Caenorhabditis elegans: one gene and its partners. The protein of the gene in region 3 purifies or fractionates together with the protein of the main gene of each other region. This does not show direct contact. Each region holds a gene or a part of one and is shown on either strand. Other genes may lie near its edges. The genes, in order: tmed-10, pdi-6, imp-2 and copb-2.

Region 1 (5,159 bases), on a different chromosome or scaffold from region 3:
TTTGACCAAAAACAGAATTTTGCAAATAAAAATTGATTTTAGAGCAATTTATTGCATAAATATTCAATTTTAGAATTTTTACTAATAGTTTGAATCTTTTTAAAGTGTTTTAGTCATTAATTTGACTGATAACACAGAAAATGATTTTTCTTTACAACGAAATCGATAAAAAAGTAAAGCAACATTTATCAAGGGAAATCTTGCAAAATTGGTTAAAAAACTTGTATGAAATCAAAGATTTCACTAGAATAAAGCTACAAATCAATCAAAATCACTAAAAGTACAAATAGTTCTGATCAAATTTCAATGTTCCAATCTACCAATGGATCTATGCCACGCCAAATTTCTTATGCAAGTGTTGCTCTCCAATTTTCCTTAAAAAATGGATCAAATACTCACATAAATGATCAAATTAACATTTTTTACAAGTTTCGTGTTATATTTTCTTTTTCTTAATAAGGAACCATCAGGTTCTTCCTGCCCTCTACGGCTCTAGATACCTCAACTTCGACAACTCCTATCTACTCGGAGAGGTGAGAGAACTTGTAGAGCACATCAAAAACTATGATATTCAATTTAACCTGCGTTTTTATCTTTCAAGATGGGGGAGTTAGACGTACATTTGTATTGCATGCTTTTTGTTATTCTACTGGCTGCTCTAACTCCCTCATCTTAAGAGATAAACACATGATTTTAACTAATTAGTATAGTTTCTACAATTTCCTAGTTAATCACTTTTTGATATCTTGCATCTCTGAGGAGATAGGAGTTGTCGAAGATACAGTATCTATAGCTATGCGCATATGAAGAATCTAATGGATTCTCATCATGCTATACTACTTATCATCTGCTTTTTGTGGGAAACAATGATTCAAAAATGTTTTTTCAAATGATCAAACAAGTTGTGATTTGATCTGAACATTTAGTGTTGGTTTAGTGAAGATCAGCTGCCAACTAAACAGTTTCCGTTGATGTGGGCATTTTTGAACAATTTCAAGACGTGAAACCGTGTTATCTCTATCAAGCTGACGTTTAAAAATTGGAATCAAACATATTAATGCTTGAAAAAATTTGTTTCGCGTAGAAATTTTGTCATAAAGTTAACTTGTTCTAGTCGGTTCGAAAATCAATGAAAAAGCAGCCAAATCGTGAATTTGTTGAATAAAATGTTTTTTAAAACTTTTTTAAAGCAATAATAATCCCAATATTTAATTATTTTTTCCAAATTTCATCTTGAAAACTCGAATAATCGCGAAATTTCGTCTGAAACTCATTTAATACCGTAAAAGTGTGCAAACGCGCTCCGTTGGACTTTCCTATTCTCGATTTTCTTAACTCTCCCGATTTGAGGCGCTGTGTTTTCCTGTTAAAATGCGTTTGTCAACGTTGACAACTCAACTACGGTTGCCAATGCGTGTTTGCGTACACACTCGATCCCACGCGCAACTGCATACGCCGCGTTGGTTTTAATTCCATCTTTTTTAAATTTATTTTCGGCGTTTGTATTGATTTTTGCTGTGTATTCCTTTAACATGAACTGATTTTTGTCCATGATAACTTTTGAACAACTTAATATTCATTATCGCATTTTTCTTACATTTATTTCCAGGTAATCATCCGAACAATTATGAAATCTCTAGTTATCTTTCTGTCAGCTATCGTTCTTGCCCATTCTCTGAGGTTCTACGTGCCACCAAAAGAGAAAAAGTGTCTGAAAGAGGAAATTCACAAGGTAAATACTTTTACAACTCCTTGTTACCATAGCAGTAAAGATGTCAAACATACTTTTTTTCGTTAAAAATTGATATATTTAATAAACATCAGAATTTATGTCTAATAAAACCTCTTGCAGAATGTGGTCGTAACAGGAGAATATGAGTTCAGTCAAGGAATTCAATACACTGGAAGTATTCACGTGAGTAAAAATAGTTTCAAAATTACTTCAAATTTTTAATTTATTTTCAGGTCACCGACACCAGAGGCCACACTCTCTACAAACGTGAAAACTTTGCTGATCTAAAAGGAAAATTCGCGTTCACTGCTGACGAATACGACATCTTTGAGATTTGCATTGAGAATCATCCACCAGCTGGGCATCCTGGAGAGAAGCGCGAGGTTTCTCTTATTTTGAAGCACGGAGTCGAAGCCAAGAATTATGATGATATTGCCAAAGCCGAGAAGCTGAAGCCACTCGAGGTTGAACTTAGAAGATTGGAGGATATGGCTGATTCAATCACCAAAGATTTCGCATTCATGCGCCAAAGAGAGGAAGAAATGAGAAATACGAACGGTAAGTGTTTAAAAAATCATTTGAATCATATAAAAGGTTCGTAATTATTTTAATTTAAAAATAATGCATTGCCGATTATCCAAGTACAGTGCTCCACATAATGATACGGCCACCCCCAAATTTTGGTATAACTCAAAACTGGGTTGAGATAGCAAAACATAATTTCTTGTGAAAATGTCCGCTGTACTGGCTAACTTTCAGATAAGTATTGGAAATATACATGAACCGTTCGTAAAAAAAGATAAACCATTTTTTCATGAAAATCCATATAAAAAAATCCACAAAATGATACGGCCACCCTTGGTTATTGTTTTCTTTTTTCGTTTTCTTTGCAATTTTTTTTGCTAAACGTTAGGTTTCATGTTCGTTTGTGTTTTTACAGCTATGTGTCGTGGAATAACTTTAACTGACTACGGAAAAAGACAAATTGTGCAAAATTATCTCAAGGCTTTTCGGATCGTCAGATTTCTCGTGATTTGAAACGTTCGAGAGATATGATCATTCGATATGCTTCAAATCCTGCCGCTCATTGCACCAAACAGTCTTCTGGTCGCCCACCACTTCTTTCTGGTAGAGACAAGCGAAAAATCGTTCGTCGAGCATCAAATTGAACAGTGACTTTCTCAAAAATTAGGCGCGAGATGAACCTGCCAGTGTCTGTTGAGACTGCACGACGTGTTCTTTCGAATTCCCAGTTTATCAAAAGACGAAAATTGAGAAAGGCTCCTTTCATTACCGAAAAAACCGCTAAAATCGTATTCAGTTAGCTAAAATCAGCCAGAGAACTAACTGGAGACAAGTGAAGATTACCGTATGATCATTCAAGCCCAATTTTGGTTTTAGTTCATCTTTTCTTCTCTCAAATCGTACCAGTAATCACGGTAGCCTTCTGGTTCATCACAGTTAAACTTTTCCTCGTCACTGAAGATGATCTGAGACCAATACATGAGCTTGAATGATCATACCGTAATCCTCACTTGTCTCCAGTTAGTTCTCTGGCTGATTTTAGCAAACTGAATACGACTTTGGCAGTGTTTTTCGGTAATGAAAGGAGCCTTTCCTAATTTTCGTCTTTTGATAAACTGAGACTTCGAAATAACACGTCGTGCAGTCTCAACAGACACTGGCAGGTTCATCTCGCGCCTAATTTTTGAGCAAGTCACTGTTCAATTGGATGCTAGACGAACGATTTTTCGCTTGTCTCTACCAGAAAGAAGTGGTGGGCGACCAGAAGACTTTTTGGTGCAATAAGTGGCAGGATTTGAAGCAAATCGAGTGATCATATCTCTTGAACGTTTCAAATCACGAAAAATCTGACGATCCGAAAAGCCTTGAGATAATTTTGCACAATTCGTCTTTTTCCGTAGTCAGTTAAAGTTATTCCACGACACATAGCTGTAAAAACACAAACGAACATAAAACCTAACGTTTAGCAAAAAAAAATTGCAAAGAAAACGAAAAAAGAAAACAAAAACCAAGGGTGGCCGTATCATTTTGTGGATTTTTTTATATGGATTTTCATGAAAAAATGGTTTATCTTTTTTTACGAACGGTTCATGTATATTTCCAATACTTATCTGAAAGTTAGCCAGTACAGCGGACATTTTCACAAGAAATTATGTTTTGCTATCTCAACCCAGTTTTGAGTTATACCAAAATTTGGGGGTGGCCGTATCATTATGTGGAGCACTGTATTAAGCTTTTATTATCATTGTTAATTAAATAGATTTGTAAGGCTACAACATATCGTTTCGAGACGCAATTCATTCTCTTCACGGAGCAGGATATTGTGATCCCTGGAAATTGTTTACCACTTTACTTGAGCAAACTCTAATTATTCGATTCATCGACAACCATCTATTTTTTACTTTTTTTTACAGAATCGACAAACAGCCGAGTTCTTTACCTGTCCATCTTTTCAATGCTGTGCCTTCTTGGTCTTGCCATTTGGCAAGTTCTTTTCCTCCGTAATTACTTCAAGTCGAAAAAGCTTATCGACTAGATTTCCCCAACCCTTAATTTATGATTAATTTATCAATTTTTTTTTCGGTTCTCCTCAACTTCTTGCTTTTCCCCCAACATCTCTTTTGTCCACACACCCAAACGTTTCATGTGATTTCTAATTGGTTCCCACATCTTTTTTACTAGATAATGATGATAATGAGTATTTTATTTTGTTGGATTTTAGTTGTTTCCTCCCCCGTTAATCTGCACAAGTATCAACAAAGGGTAAAATGTATAGTGTGTAATGTTTCCGTCTTATTTTTCTGTTTTCATCATTGCCGTTTTTTAAAATCATTATTATGAACTTTTAAATTGAAACATTGAAACATCAATTGGTAATTTACTCACCATATGGTGATTTAGTAAAGTACATAAGATCACTTTTCAAGAAGTCTTTTTCAGACGTCATCCTTTCAGAAATAACTTCAGACTTCATTCTCCACCAGTTCACTTACAACAATGATCGGTCTACATATTTTCCACTACGCCGGCTTTTTCGGAGCACAAATCTTCAATACTGTTCTGGCAATATTAATTGTGAAAAGAGCTGGAAAACTGTTTGGTAGTTACCGTCATGTTATGTTTGTATTCACATTTTGTTCGATGTTGTACTCTGCAGTAGAGATAATTGCACAGCCGGTACGATACAATAGAAAATTGGAACTTGAAATTGAAATTTTGAGAATGTTACTTCAAATAATCGTCTTTCAGGTACTATACATGAAAGGTCCAATGTTTGTCGTGTTTCTTGATAATAACGTTTTTTCTCAAGGCATTGGAAATGTAGTTGCTTGTTAGTTTTAAACATTTTACTTTTCATAGAACTCTTAAACAAAAAATGAATTTCCCTCTTTTTTTGGTTATT
Region 2 (4,491 bases), on a different chromosome or scaffold from region 3:
GTTGTTTTCAAGTGTGCTCCCTAATGATTCTAAGTTCAGAATTTAGAGAATTACTGTAATTCGTGTTTGTTTCATGTCTCTTAATTTTATAAAAGTTTACATTTCAAAGGAACAGTTCAGTCTTAGAAAAATTCAAAATTTGATGCATAGGATTGACTGACTATTATCTGACTATTGGACTGACTAGGAGAAGAATCTTCCTGAAGATAACTTTTCTTTTTATTTTTAGATAAATTATATGGTTTATTAGATAAAATGGCAATAAAAATCAGACTCTGTTCGTACATTTTCTTTAACAATGTTAGCCATCAAAGAAAAATATTTAGAATTTGCCTTTGAAGGGACAAGTTTTCCTGTGAATTCTTTCAATTACATTGAAATTCCTCTATTGTAAATACAAATTAATCAAAAGACAAAGTGTCGATTTACGCTAAACATTGCGCATGTGGAATTTCGGAATCTTGTTCGTTCTTTACATCTGCAAACTTGGGTAAGAAGTTGGCAAAACTTGGCTAAGGCTTGGGCAGAACTCGGGCGAGGGAGTTTACACTAGAATTGCTGAAGTTGGGTAAGACTTGGGCATACTCTGGGTTAGAAGTTGGCAAGAGTTGGGTAAGAAGCTGAAAAGGCCCAAACTTGGGGAAGAAGCTGTCGGGAATTGCCGAGGAATTCTTTAGTGCTGAGACATCCGGAAAATGGTATTCGCCAGATAAGATGTTGTGGTAGGTCCTTAATATTTGGAGAATTCGCTGGTGTTGAATGGATTTTTGATTTGACTGAGCCAGTCGATCATCGTACGACGTGTTTGAGACATTGCATCGTTGATACACTCTTCTTGAATAGAATTTCAGCGGCATTTCAAGTAGCTTTATCAGACGTTTGGAGTTAGGGTTGTAGACCTCACATCCGTAATTCAGCAGCGGTTGAACGTAAACGTTGTATAACTTAAAGTACAAACTGACATTGGTAAAGCGAAAGCATCGAAGAAGCTGTCTACACTTGAGGAAAGCAGAATTTGATACATATTCGATATGTTTTTGGAAGTTTAGCTTGCAATCCACGAAAATGTCTAGATCGTTGACTGAATACTTTTTAATTATTTGTATTCCATTCGCATGATAATCTGTTCTTGGGTTGCGCTTCCCGAGGTGTATGACATTGGTTTTGTTCTCGGCCAAGTTTAAGTTTCACTTTGCACACCAATCAGTGACGACATTGATCGCTTTTTGCATAGAGTCCGAATTTTCACCGAGTATCTTGATATCGTCGGCAAATGCGTATACAAAAACATCCGTGGGGAACAGTTCCAGTAGGTAATTAATGTAGACAAGGAATAAGAACGGTCCACTGACCGTATCGCAAGATTATTTTGTTGGAAATCTTCAATTAACACCTTTATTCCAAATAACTATTTTTGGCATTGAGAGTGTTACAAGTTTATTTCAAGATAAACAATTTATAAATGTTAGATGTAAAAATATTTTTGAAAACAAGAAAGAACAAACACTGAGGAATTTTATTTTGTCGTGTAATCATCGAAATGTTTTCAGTTATTTCGATAAATTAATAGATTCTGTTAAAAAAACATTTTTTTTATTAAATTTTTCTTTTTAAAACGTCTTCCCTAACCCTCATAGTTTTCTCATTGCATTTCGCAACTCTCCATTTAATGCCTGTGCCGGGGCCGTGGCGAGAACTATTTGCGCAAAGCGCTCTACTGTACGACACGTTGACCAATCAACTGCACACACACGACGCGCAACGTCACACTCCCGCCCTCTGTACACGCATTTGACTCAGTTTGGAATCGCTCCCCATTCTGTACGGTCTCACAGACAAACCAGTGAGATTAGTGGATCGTCATGGCTCTCATCAAGTTGCTCCTCGCATCTTTGGGTAAGTTTTTGTTTTAGAAAATGTGAAGTATTCTTCATTTGGTGTTTTTGATTAGGAAAAAAGAATTTTATACAAAACTAATATTAAATTAATTAAAATTTTGCAGCGATAACTTCGGTATGTGGAATGTACTCAAAAAAGGATGATGTCGTCGAGCTGACCGAGGCCAATTTCCAATCAAAGGTTATCAACTCTGATGATATTTGGATTGTTGAGTTCTATGCTCCATGGTGCGGTCACTGCAAGAGTCTGGTCCCAGAATACAAGAAAGCTGCTTCAGCACTCAAGGGAGTCGCCAAGGTTGGAGCCGTTGATATGACTCAACATCAATCCGTCGGAGGACCATACAATGTTCAAGGATTCCCAACTCTCAAGATCTTCGGAGCCGACAAGAAGAAGCCAACAGACTACAACGGTAAGCAATTATCCAATTTCTTCTTAATAATTTACAAGCGGAAATTTGGATTGGTTGTCGACAAACTTGCACAAAAATAACTGAAAAAGGACAATAGTCACAAGCCGGTACGGCAAACAAAAACTGATTTGTCTCATTTCCACCCTCTCCCCACTCGAACTATTTTCTGTGTGCACTGTCGGTCAGTCAATTGAGCTGGCCGCAACTAGTTGTGTGTTTAGTAACTGTTTGCTCAGATATTATGTTTGGCCGATCCGCTCTATAGATGTGGACGACCTTGCGGCAAAGTAATTGTGCGTACCAGTCTATAGGGTGGAAGATAGGAGAGACGCCGGCCTCTGAGCGATCTGGGTCATTTAGAGCGTGCGTGTGTCTGTGTATGTGTGTAAAAAGACCAAGATGATATTGATTTATTTTTGCAGGACAAAGAACTGCTCAGGCAATCGCTGACTCGGTTCTCGCTGAAGCCAAAAAGGCAGTCTCTGCTCGGCTTGGAGGAAAATCATCAGGAAGCAGCAGCAGTGGATCCGGATCTGGATCTGGAAAGCGTGGAGGAGGTGGATCTGGAAATGAAGTTGTTGAACTTACTGATGCCAACTTCGAGGATCTCGTTCTCAACAGCAAGGATATCTGGCTTGTCGAGTTCTTTGCCCCATGGTGCGGACACTGCAAAAGCCTTGAGCCACAATGGAAGGCCGCCGCTTCTGAACTCAAGGGCAAAGTTCGTCTCGGAGCTCTCGACGCCACTGTTCATACTGTCGTCGCCAACAAGTTCGCCATTCGTGGATTCCCAACCATCAAGTATTTCGCTCCAGGATCTGATGTTTCTGACGCTCAAGACTACGATGGAGGACGTCAATCTTCTGACATCGTTGCCTGGGCTTCAGCTCGTGCTCAAGAAAACATGCCAGCTCCAGAGGTCTTTGAAGGAATCAACCAACAAGTCGTAGAGGATGCATGCAAGGAGAAACAGCTTTGCATTTTTGCCTTCCTCCCACACATTCTTGACTGCCAATCGGAGTGCAGAAACAATTATTTGGCTATGCTCAAGGAGCAATCCGAGAAATTCAAGAAGAACCTTTGGGGGTATGTTTTATATAATTTTACAAAATTTCATTCTAATTTAAATAATTTCAGATGGATTTGGGTTGAAGGAGCCGCTCAGCCAGCTCTTGAGGAGTCCTTCGAAGTTGGAGGTTTTGGATATCCAGCCATGACTGCTTTGAACTTCCGCAAGAACAAGTACGCCGTGCTCAAGGGATCCTTCGGAAAAGATGGAATCCACGAGTTCCTCCGTGATCTCTCGTATGGAAAGGGACGCACTTCTTCCCTTCGAGGAGATGGATTCCCAAAGATTCAGAAGACTGAGAAGTGGGACGGAAAGGACGGAGCCCTTCCAGCTGAAGACGACATCGACTTGTCTGACATTGACCTCGATAAGACCGAGCTTTAAAATCATGAATTTTCTACATACATCGACACCAAAAACTTACTCTCACCATGCAATTTTGTTTTAATTGTAACGGGTGTTCTCACCAGATAACTCGTCTAACTGCGTTACATCCATACATGTTTTGTGACTTTAGCGATTTTTCTCGTATTTATTTATTTTTGTTCTCTGTTTTGTTAAATAAAGTATTTCAGGAAGCTATGGATTATTAAAAGTGAAAATCAAAAATCTTCGGTTGAAGGTTTTCAAATTCTTGATTTTCTTTTTCAATACGGAACTAAGGGTTGAGAAATATTTAATATCGATGTAAGATATATTTTTAATAACTTTCAGCTGCTAGAGCAACTTAATAATTCAAACGTTACCAATTCAATTACTCGGGCACAAAGGGATACAAAACCAAAGAAGCAGAAAACTTGTGCTGGTCAGATCAAATAAGTAAAATTTGGTGATTTTCACCACTATTAGTCAAGAAACAAAGTTATGAACTGATATGTTTAGATTGTTTTTTTTTCTGGTTTATGTTCACATTCAACCACACCATTTGTTCTGAGCTTTTTCAAGGTTACGTGCTCCTAGTTCATATTCATAATTCATATTCATTTTCATTTTCATATTCATATTCAAAAGAGTTGTTTGCGATTTTTTAAAATAAATTTCCGAAATGTTGATTGTTTCAGAATATTTTACAGATTCTTTTTCAAACAAGACGTTTTCAATAAATTCATGA
Region 3 (4,472 bases):
AACGTAGATTTCAATTTTAAAAGTTGATTCATCACTGAAATAATTTCAGCAATGTGTTCTCTATCTGGATTTTTGACGTATACCTACTATTACGAATTGAAAGACAATCAATATGAATTGGTATCCGGATATCAGTTTCAGGTTTGTTCATATTTGCAAAATTAAAGTTATTTACAAAAATTCGAAATTTCAGATTCATTACGGTTGGGCATATTATGTTTTTGGTTTTTCTTCCCTCCTACAGTGGGCAGCTTTCGTGTGTAGTCTGTTTGGTTCTGCATTCGTTCTCGTTCACAAAAATAAAAAACGACAGTCCAAAGTAACAAGTACATCACTCTAAAACTTTCACATTTCGACCAATTTCTTTTCACTTTTCAAAAATATTGCTCTTTCGCGGGTGTCATCCCCAAAACTCTTTCACCTTATTATGTTGATATGTTAGCTAATAATGTAACAGGATATTTTGATTTTCTGAATGACATTTGATAGCTACTTCGTTATTGTGGTCTGTATATATTTAAAAAAAGATGAACGTATAAATAAATTCAATGCATTTATAGAATAAGTTACTAAATACATGTAAATAAATATGAAAACAAAATACCTTTTTTGGTTCAAACAGGACAGTAAGGGGGTTGGAAAAGCTAAAAAGACCCGGGAAAACGGAAGATAACAATGGAAAGGACAGGAATCAGAATGATTATGCTAGGATGTGGTGGGACATGGAATCGAGTTGAATTAAATGACTAGAATATCTAGAAATAGTCAAAAGTACGATAAGTTAGGTTTTCCAATTCAAGTATTCTTCGAAAACAGAATAACAAGCAGGAATAGCATACTTTAGACTATTTTAAATCATTTAGTTATTTTTCTTGCCGGAGTCTACTTTCTTTCGATTTTCTTCGTTATCCACATGTCTTGATTCATCGTAGTTCCATAAAGCCGAAAGTTCTCCACGGATCACAGCAAGAAGGAGGGGTACGAAAAGACAACACGGCACCAAATAGAGAAGAGCTGGTTGAGCAGCCTTGAAGTGATGCATAACAGCCATAGTGATGAAAAGTCCAGCCATGTAAGCGACGACAGTAACCACGAAGTAGTATCGTCCTTTCAAGGATCCTTGTGGAGCCTTCGACTCGGCAGTCGTTTGAACAACTCTGTAGTCGAACCGACGAAGGAGAGCAATGAAGATTCCAGGGATAACAATGTCTCCAAGCCCAAGCATACTGTGCTTACTGGCTTCCATTATTCCATTTCGATAGATATCTTGAGGGAATTGGAGCAAAATCGGAGCATCAATTCCTTTTGCGACAGATGTCATCACGTCTGTTCCGAAAACCCAGAAGATGTCATAGAAAAAGAGACCAACGAGAAGAAGGGATCCAGCCTGTAAAAAAAATTAATAATGATATTAATTAGTCTTTTCAATGAAATTTTTTTAAAACCTATTTTTGCAAATAACGGTTTGATATTTAAAAGTTTCTTTTAAACAGCTTTAGGCCAAAATTGAGAACTATTTACTTTGTCCAAATATTTCAAGTTAGTTCAAAAATATATTATTACTATCTGGTCAATTGAAATTATTCTTCCATTCAGTAAGCGTAATTGTAGCTTTTTTGTCTTATTACAAAAATATTGCTATATTTTTTAATAATTGTTAAATTTACCTTGAAACTGGCCAAATGAAGACGTTCGATTCCCAAGATTGAGAAGCTCACTCCGATAATATTATTGGTGATCCAGTGTCTTTTCAGCAGGTGAGAAATGAGAATTGGAGAGCACATCAATAAAGCGATGATATCGTAACGATCAAAGTCAATTTTGAAAAGATATTCCGTTTCCTTTTTCTTCGCATCTTCGATATCACCCTCTTCCATTTCCTTATTTCCCTTTTTGAGAGAGAATAAGTACGGAGCATTGAATCTTAAGAAGGATGGAACCAGTGGCATCTTTTTGAGAAACGCGGTAACAAATGGCTTCAACAGAGACGCGAAAGCGTTGACTCCTTCGAAACAGATGAGGAAAGTCAAGAGTTGCATACATTCTGCTTTTTGAATTGTTGGTAAGTTGGTATAAGCGTATGTAGCCGCATTTTGAATTGCTTCTGGAACGCGTTCTTGAGGTATCCTTGACGCCAAGCGGAGCAAGAATGGCTCGGAAGGCCCAGTAGTCGTAGTATTAGCGGTATAGCTGATAATAGTGCTATTGATCTTCTGGACATATTCTTCGGGAACTCGCAGAATTTGGAAGACTCTGGCAACCCAAAGGAAGCGTTCGGCGGCAGGCTTGAAGAAGAGGTAGAGACCGAAGAGAACCAGAGAAGCAGAAATAGGGAATTTCCTGGCTTCTCTCATAGTGATCGAACCTTCAATAAGTCGCTTCTTGTCAATATTCGTCCTTATGTATTGAGCTGAACGAATCGATCCAATGATGATGCAGAGGATAGACATTCCGTAAAGCGCCAACGAGCTTGTAGCCTGAATGAAAAATTGATTTAAAAAAGTTCGCATGGCTATTTATCACATTTAATAAAAACTTCGTTGTAATTTTATACTTGTCCACTTCATTTATTTTACAAAATTTCAGTAAAAATCTCACCTGTTCTTCGAATGTAAAAACTGTGACATTGCTAGCCGTCGGCGGGATTTCGGTCGCTGCTTCAGCCATGTCGCGAAAGGTTTGAATTCCCAACTGGAAAAACTGAGATTAAGAAATGGAGGTATATTGCCTGATTGAGATGAGAAACCGGTTTATGAGACGGATAAACAAGTAAGTTTGCTGAGTAACGATCACAAATTTCACAAATTCTCAAGACAAGTGAGATGATTAATTTCTATAAGGATTAATTTAGATGATCCGAACATTACTTGAGTGACTGTTATAATAGAAAGACTGAAAAATCGTCTTTTAAATTAACATATTCCATATTGCTGGATCCGGCAAACAAAAACAATGTTCCAGGACACTCACTCCACGTGTTCTGAGCTGTCGTCTCGGTCGTTGATTGGCTGATTCCGCCTCTGTTTGCAACTAGTAACGCGCCGCAGTTTGCAGTTTTCAGTGAAGGACAACGTGTTTGCAAGAGACGCAGACACTGTGCGGCACTTGCAAATTGGGGCGGGACTTTTAGGGACACGTCGAGAAGGGGTGAGCCCCGGCGAAAGAAAGCAAACAAGCGGAGAGAAAAGGGGAGTAATTGACCGTTGGAAAGACACCTCATTCCATTTATTCTCGGTCGTTAGGAAGAGACGGCGATGAGATTCCTTTTGGTGGGCTTCGTCGCCCTTCTGGCTGTTTCAGGTATGTCTTTTTATTGATTTTCAGAGCTTAGTGAGCTTTAAATAGAAAACCGTAGTTTTGAAATTGTAAAAAAAATTTTTAAGCTTAAATGTACGCTGAAAATATTAAAACTGTGTTCACAGAATAAAAACATTAGGCTTTATTTTTTCATTCTGTGCATACACGCCACGCAGTTTTTGAATTCACGTTTTTATTCCCAACAATCATCACTTTTCAGCCTTCATTCCAAATGTCTACGCCGAAGATGAAATCGAAGACGCACCAAAGGAAACCAAAGAAGAAACAAGGTAATTTTTGATAATTTGATTATTATGAAAAATTGCAATTTGAAAAAGTCTAGAGAATTTTGAATTGTGTTTCGTACATTTTTTGAACAATTTCGTGAATATGTCGAAATCAGAATCAATAACCTTGTTAATTTTTAATTAGATCTAATATATCAGAAATATCTTTCGAATTCGTTTTTCGCTCTTAATATTGAATAGTTACAGTTTTAGCTGGATTAAGTGTTCCAAAAAGATAAATCACATTTTCTTCCACTTTCCAAATAAATTGACCTGTCACTACGTGTCTGTTCCTTTTCCTGGTTACTCTGAACTATCTCAATATTTGTCTACCCCCGGCCTCAGCCAAAACTTTTGAACGGTACCAGGTCGCGTCAGTCCACTTGGTGACTCTCATCCGTTTTGCACACTATTTTGTACTCCCGCGGAGCACTATTTGATTGAGTCTTGCCCTTTGTCGGAATGCAAACAGACTCGATCTACTGCTAGGTTATCTTATCTTGTTTGTGTTTCCTTTTTCTCAAATAAGAAAAATCGGCTGAAGGGTCAAGAGAGACTAAAAGGGTTATCTCCGACCTAGATAATTTAACGTATGCTTTCCTAGATTCACGTAATAGCCTGTCAAGGACGGAGATACGAATCACAAGATTTAATCTTCTGCTAATGGAAGGTGTAGTATTAGGGATGCCATACACGGATTAGAAGTGAACGCATTATTTTCTAGGGTTTCTGATAAAATTTTGGAAAATTAAAGATCAAAACTGTACAATTAAAACACAATACAGTTTAAAACAATTTAAAAATATAACTAGTTAACAAAAAAAATTGAAATTGATAAATAATATTTTCAGAGAGGAAGATTCGATCAAGCTCGATGGACTATCTGTC
Region 4 (6,623 bases), 1.7 Mb from region 3:
CAATGTGTACAAGTTTTGTTCTCCATAAAATACTGACCAGATTAACGTTTTGAATTTTCAAAATATCCCCATCCGCATTGCTGCAGGCCTTCAGAACTTTTGAGATCACGATCTTTATGGCACGCAAGTCGGCATTCTGCGGGATTTCTACATTTTTCTCGAGGAATCCATCAAGTATCTTACAAGTTTTTATAGTTCAAAGAATGCTCTTGGTCTGGAGATTCTTTAAAAACAAAAATCCAAAAAATTTCTATCGTGGTATTTCTGTACGGACTGTGGCAGTAGTTTAGGTCTTGAATGACACAGTCGCCAGAAAGATGGATGTGAGCGGCGGCACCAGTATTCATTTTAGTACTTTTTGGCACGGTTTGACCTGAATTTTCAGAATTTTTAGAAAAAAATTAGCTCTGCTGATTTTGTGGGTCGTTACGCCTTGTGAAACCAAAAAAACTGAGTAAATTTCGGAAAGTTTAATTCATGAAATATTCAAAGGTTCTTGCTAGGCGCCAGTGTCGACACAGAAAATTTTTATATGCTACAAAAACAATCAAAAACGCTTCTTCATTTCTTTAACTTTCAATTTAACATAAAAATCATACATCTGAAAATTATTGGCGTGCGTGGGAGGTGCGTTTGTGTGGGAAGTGCCGCGTGCCAAAATGCCGTTTTAAAAAGGGTTCGCCAAATTGCCGAGGTGATTAAAATCGCACCTTATTGGGAAACATTACAAATTTTGGGTCAAATTGAAGGAAATTTATTCAGCTATCAGTATTCGATAGAAAAATGTACGTATGACGTGGCAGTCGCGCGAAAATCTCATGTAAAAGAGCGCTTCATGTGTTACCATACTTTTGGCCCACCCTGTATGAACATGGGTTCGTACCATGGAACCACAACGAAAATGACCAAAAGTTCCATATTTTTGAAGTCCCACAGAAAGCTATTTATTTTCTACCAGTTGTTGCATTACGTTTTGATTATTTGTATTTGAGCATTGTGTTGTCAATATTATAAGAATCATACCATTTCCACACACACACACACACACATTTTACATAAATAATTAGCTAAATTTATGTAAATTCTCTTGATAATTTACAAAAAGAACGAGCAAAATCGGTTATTCTTATTATTCCTGACTCGTATCGAGTACTCTTTCTACTATAATATTGCTCTTGGTTTGGACATTGTGGAGAACACAACAATAAGCAAGAAGATTGCCATAATCAGGTAAAACTAAGGCTGCAAAGGGGGCCTCTTCGATTTTAAGATATAACTGAGTTTTTTGAAAAATCTAAAACGTTTAAGGTTGTCCAGAGCAAAATTTGCATAAACATTCAACAACTTCACTATCAGTTTCAAAAAAAGTTGATTTTTCTCGTAATTTTTTTTCATTCATTTTACAACATTTCCTGAATGCAATTTTATTTATAAAATCTGCCACGAAGCAGCCACCGTTCGTAAGAGACACCTCACAAATGTGAGAAACGCAGACAAAAAAGTCAAAGGCACGCCGACTTTCCCGCTGTGGTCTCGATACGATCGGGGCTTTCTGAGTTGGCGATGGATGCGCCTCTACCTTTTGAGTGTTCTATCGTTTCGCCAACGTATCTTTTGATGAATTTTAAGATTTTCTTCTAAAAAAGATTAATTTCGGTTGATTTAAACATCTGAATTCTAAAAATCCAGAATATTATCGATTTTTGAATGTTCTTTCGGTTTTATTTTATTTCTATAAGCTGACTATTTGCAAATCTTCCTCTTCGTGCTCAGCTTAATTTTACATTGAGTTTATTTATTTTAGCTTTTTTTCAGAACAAGATGCCTCTCCGACTTGATGTAAAAAGAAAGCTTCTGGCTCGTTCGGACCGCGTGAAATGTGTCGACTTGCATCCAGTCGAAACATGGCTTCTAGCTGCTCTTTACAATGGAAATGTTCACATCTGGAATTACGAAACACAAACGCTTGTAAAGTCATTTGAAGTAAGCTTTTTTTCAAATTTATGTGCAAACTTCATGAAATTACGAAATAACTGAATCTAAATTTTGCAGGTGTGTGACGTACCAGTTCGTGCAGCGAAGTTCGTTCCAAGAAAGAGCTGGGTTGTCACGGGATCTGACGATATGCATATTAGAGTTTTCAACTACAACACATTGGAACGAGTTCATCAATTCGAAGCACATTCTGATTATCTCCGATCGCTCGTTGTTCATCCAACACTTCCCTACGTCATTTCATCATCCGACGACATGCTTGTTAAAATGTGGGATTGGGATAACAAATGGGCAATGAAACAGTCATTCGAAGGGCATACTCATTATGTCATGCAGATTGCCATCAATCCAAAAGATAATAACACTTTTGCAACTGCTTCTCTTGACAAAACTGTCAAAGTATGGCAGTTCGGATCGAATGTTCCGAATTTCACTTTGGAAGGACACGAGAAAGGAGTCAACTGTGTCGATTACTATCATGGTGGAGAGAAACCATACATTATTTCTGGAGCTGATGACCATCTGGTCAAGATTTGGGATTACCAAGTAAGTTTTTTTTCTCTTTGCATTCATCCAAAATGATATTTTCAGAATAAAACGTGTGTGCAAACGCTCGATGGACATGCGCAAAATGTGTCTTCAGTTTGTTTCCACCCAGAACTGCCATTGATAATCACAGGATCCGAAGACTCCACTGTTAGATTGTGGCATGCAAACACCTACAGGCAAGAACATTAAAGTACGATTTCCACAACAACAATTTAAAATTTTTAGACTGGAAACAACCTTGAATTATGGGTTGGAACGTGTTTGGTGCATCCAAGCTCAAAAAGGAGCCAACACTATTGCCATCGGATACGACGAAGGTTCCGTCACGTTGAAATTAGGCCGAGAAGAACCAGCAGTCAGTATGGATTCGTCTGGAAAGATTTTGTGGGCAAAGCACTCCGAAATTCAGCAAGCTAACCTGAAGACAATCTCAACTGAAGAGTCGGAAGCCATTCAAGGTTTGGAAAACTTTCATTCGACTTTTGTATAGTTCGGCACATGTTTTCTGAAAGTATTAAAAAAAGAGAAATTGTGTTCATTTATTATCACTCTAAGACAGTTCATTTACAGATGGAGAACGTCTGCCGCTTTCTGTAAAAGATCTCGGATCTTCTGAAATCTATCCACAAACCCTTGCTCATTCATCTAATGGACGTTTTGTTGTCGCTTGTGGTGACGGAGAATACATTGTTTATACTGCAATGGCTCTCAGAAACAAGGATTTCGGACAAGGACTCGAGTTTGTCTGGGCTGTTGATCCAAATATGTTTGCTGTCCGTGAATCTGCCACCAATGTGAAGATAAAGAAGAACTTCAAGGATCACAAGTCAATTCGTTCAGATATGGTACTTGAGGGAATTTCTGGTGGACCACTTCTTGCCTTGAGGTTTTTGAACTCTTATCAATTGACTTTTATTTAATTTTTTGTTTCAGATCGAACAACTCTTTGTGCTTCTTTGATTGGGAATCAGCCGTTCTTGTTCGTCGTATCGAAATTACTTCCAAGAGCATCTATTGGAGTGACAACGGAGAGATGGTCGCAATTTGTGGAGATGATTCATTCTACGTTCTCAAGTACAGTGCTGAAGCAGTTGCCAATGCAACAGAAGTGACCGAAGACGGTATTGAAGACGCGTTTGAGGTTATTGGAGAACAGGCAGAAGCTGTGAAGACGGGATTCTGGATCGGGGACTGCTTTATTTTCACCACTGCACTCAATAGAATCAACTATTATGTCGGTGGAGAAATTGTCACTATTGCTCATGTTGATAGACCACTTTATTTGGTGAGATTTTAAAACATGCGTTGTTCTTATCATTTTTAAAACTTAAATATTTTAGTTGGGATACATGGCTAAGGAATCTCGAGTCTATGCCGTCGATAAGGATCTCAACGTGATCTCATACAAACTTCTTCTATCTGTTCTTGAATATCAAACTGCTGTAATGCGCCGTGACTTCGATACTGCTGACAAGGTACTTACTACAATTCCAAAAGAGCAGAGAACTCGTGTTGCTCATTTCCTCGAAAAGCAAGGATTCAAGAAGCAGGCTCTTGCGGTCTCTCAAGACCCTGATCACAAGTAAGACAATTTTCAGCTTTTCAGCAATAATTTTGGAACGTTTTCAGATTCGATCTCTCGGTAGCTCTTGGAGATTTGAAGACTGCCTACGATTTGGCACTGCAAAGCGATTCAGAAGAGAAATGGAAGGCTCTCAGCAACGCCGCCACTCTTAAGTCGGAACTTCTTCTTGCTGGTGAATGTCTTGGAAGAGCTCGCGATTTCGGAGGTCTAATGCTTCTTGCAACGTGTGCCGGATCAGCTCCTCTTCTTCAGAAACTTGCGGATGACTCTGCTGCTGCCGAAAGCCACAATATCAGCTTCCTCAGTAGTTTGCTTCTTGGAGATATTGATGCTTGTCTAGACAAACTTATTTCGACTGGTCGCCTCCCAGAAGCAGCGTTCCTTGCTCGAACACATGCGCCGTCTCGAGTTTCATCTATTCTTGAATTGTGGAAAGCCAAGGCTTCGGGACACAGCGAAAAGAGTAGCAGAAAGATTGGAGAATCTCTTGCCGATCCAGTGAAGTATGAAAACTTGTTCCCTGGATTTACCCAATCACTGAAAGCAGAATCTTTCGTTCGTGAGATCTCCAAGATTCCAGTCCCAGCATCCGTTCGAGTGCCATCAGCTGCTACCCGGAATATTCAAGAGGAATTGGATGAAGCTGTTGCTTCGGGAGCAGTTTCTTTTACTGATGATGGCCAAGCAGTACTTAAGAATGCCCCAAGACAAACCGAGACACAATTGAAAGCTCCACCTCCTCCATCAGTTGCACGTCAACCCTCGCCTGTACGCCAGCCATCCCCTATTCGTGAGCCATCACCGATCCGCGAACCTGAACCTGAAGAAGAGGAAGAACAGGAAGAATTCGATGATGATCAGCAAGAGGTGCATGTTCCAGCTGTACGTTTTGAACAGTTTTTTATTCATATGGAATTTGACTATTCGTTGCTAGAATCACCAATTTATTTTCAGAATCAAGAAAGTGCCGATGCTCATGGAACATCTAAAACTCCTGATGTTGTTCTTGAGACAAGCCGGCCTGATATTGTCCCACCACGGGGGTCCGCCGCTCCAGATTTGGTTTCCGCGTCTTCACAACAATCTGCTCAAGATGTAAGTATTTATTTATAAATGTTTTGAAAATTATATAAACTGCGAAAATTCAATCAATTAATCCAATTACAGTTCCAAGATGATACGCAATGGTCAGATGAAGATTTTGGAGATGCTGAAAATGGAGACCTGAATATGGACGATCTAAATTTAGACGAGGAAGATTGACTGGTAGTCGATCGATCTGCCCAACAAGATCAGAAAGACTGAGTATCAGTGTTATTTTTTTGTGTATGTAATTTAAGCCCCCCCCCCCCCCCCTCCCGTCCTATCAATGTCCCCATTCCATCCGTAATTTCATGCACAATTTTTTGACGAATGATTCAGAGCAGATCGATCGATAGATAATTATTTTATTTTTCATGTTTCACCCCAAAAAGAGGTTTTTTTCTAACCCATCTGGTGTCGGTCACTCTCTAACATTCTTTGGGAAATTGTTAATTAGTATTATGGGAATGTGATAATGTTTTTCTTATCAAATAATTATGTAATTTATAGTGTTTTTGGCGCACTCGTCTTTTTTTGTGATTTTTATTTCTACTGGTCACTCCTGTCGTAAGCTCCCTTTGCCAACTATCCACCCAATTCATCCCTCCCCGTTTTCATATTTCTGCCTTCAAAATCACATAACTTATTGAATTTTTATGTTTATCGCCCTTTCTGATTTATAAGTAAACACTAAGTTATTTCCAGCTTTTTTGTGCGGTGTTTTTTGTATTCTAGGGGTTTTCTTCGAAGTTTTGTTCTATGGCTTTTTCCACTTCTACTATCATCCTCCCCAAAACTTTCGTGTTAACGAAAAAATGATGTAATGAGAGTTTTATTGATTGAAATGATTTTTTTTTCTTTTAACCGTGTTTGAATAAACGGAACAGAAAGTGTATGTGTGGCTGATCAGGAACAATTTGTAGATATTTATGTCTACACAAGTGATAATCAAAAGGCACTTCAAAAAAGGAGCAAAATGATAAGAGGCGTCGAGCCGATTTCAATACGGAAAAAGCGTATTCGGCGACAATCCGATACGATTTTTGGCACGGAATCCCATTTGACGAGGTTGAGCCGAAACTGAACGAGCTTCTCTTTCCATTGGTGGCTCTTCAGTATGTCTTGAAATTCGTTCGGAAGATTCGCTTCGCCGCTTGTTTAATGTTTCCGACTCGACGCCACCCCGTCAACTGTCTCGTGGTTGGCTTTGTTCTTTCTGAAATGATCATGATACTATAACAATATGATATAACATGTCGAAATTTTGTGAGATTTCTTTAAATAACCTAGTTTTTCAGTTCTCATAAATGTTTATTTTTGAATCTACACATTTCACATTTCCTTGATTTTTTACGATCCATCACTCATACGAAAACATGTGATTAATTTTGTCCCGCTTTCTCAAGGGGAC

What was found.
Region 1: the proteins of imp-2 (region 3) and tmed-10 fractionate together in Caenorhabditis elegans (co-fractionation; one large-scale study listed by BioGRID). This does not show direct contact.
Region 2: the proteins of imp-2 (region 3) and pdi-6 fractionate together in Caenorhabditis elegans (co-fractionation; one large-scale study listed by BioGRID). This does not show direct contact.
Region 4: the proteins of imp-2 (region 3) and copb-2 fractionate together in Caenorhabditis elegans (co-fractionation; one large-scale study listed by BioGRID). This does not show direct contact.

Annotation. Positions count from the first base shown.
Region 1 is NC_003283.11:11,323,415-11,328,573, reverse strand, and holds tmed-10 (GOLD domain-containing protein), read left to right. Parts: upstream 1-1,609; 5' UTR 1,610-1,627; coding exon 1,628-1,732; intron 1,733-1,852; coding exon 1,853-1,915; intron 1,916-1,965; coding exon 1,966-2,290; intron 2,291-4,170; coding exon 4,171-4,292; 3' UTR 4,293-4,609; downstream 4,610-5,159. Other genes in the region: str-141 (Serpentine receptor class r-10), read left to right, coding at 4,754-4,933, 5,006-5,087.
Region 2 is NC_003284.9:7,065,812-7,070,302, reverse strand, and holds pdi-6 (Protein disulfide-isomerase A6 homolog), read left to right. Parts: upstream 1-1,739; 5' UTR 1,740-1,862; coding exon 1,863-1,896; intron 1,897-2,002; coding exon 2,003-2,311; intron 2,312-2,393; exon of another isoform or gene 2,394-2,534; intron 2,535-2,733; coding exon 2,734-3,397; intron 3,398-3,448; coding exon 3,449-3,764; 3' UTR 3,765-3,961; downstream 3,962-4,491. UniProt on the Caenorhabditis elegans protein: May function as a chaperone that inhibits aggregation of misfolded proteins. May negatively regulate the unfolded protein response (UPR) through binding to UPR sensors.
Region 3 is NC_003282.8:11,116,197-11,120,668, forward strand, and holds imp-2 (Intramembrane protease 2), read right to left. Parts: upstream 2,692-4,472; 5' UTR 2,668-2,691; coding exon 2,599-2,667; intron 2,478-2,598; coding exon 1,668-2,477; intron 1,388-1,667; coding exon 860-1,387; 3' UTR 536-859; downstream 1-535. Other genes in the region: clc-9 (CLaudin-like in Caenorhabditis), read left to right, coding at 50-141, 194-340; enpl-1 (Endoplasmin homolog), read left to right, coding at 3,255-3,300, 3,518-3,587, 4,436-4,472. UniProt on the Caenorhabditis elegans protein: Acts as intramembrane protease. In larvae, required for the complete shedding of the cuticle during molting, possibly by regulating cholesterol uptake via lrp-1. Involved in embryonic and larval development.
Region 4 is NC_003282.8:9,457,916-9,464,538, forward strand, and holds copb-2 (putative coatomer subunit beta'), read left to right. Parts: upstream 1-1,815; 5' UTR 1,816-1,821; coding exon 1,822-1,983; intron 1,984-2,052; coding exon 2,053-2,541; intron 2,542-2,586; coding exon 2,587-2,720; intron 2,721-2,769; coding exon 2,770-3,002; intron 3,003-3,114; coding exon 3,115-3,430; intron 3,431-3,477; coding exon 3,478-3,829; intron 3,830-3,884; coding exon 3,885-4,126; intron 4,127-4,173; coding exon 4,174-5,011; intron 5,012-5,083; coding exon 5,084-5,224; intron 5,225-5,296; coding exon 5,297-5,392; 3' UTR 5,393-6,105; downstream 6,106-6,623. Other genes in the region: F38E11.6 (Adenylate kinase), read right to left, coding at 6,399-6,428. UniProt on the Caenorhabditis elegans protein: The coatomer is a cytosolic protein complex that binds to dilysine motifs and reversibly associates with Golgi non-clathrin-coated vesicles, which further mediate biosynthetic protein transport from the ER, via the Golgi up to the trans Golgi network.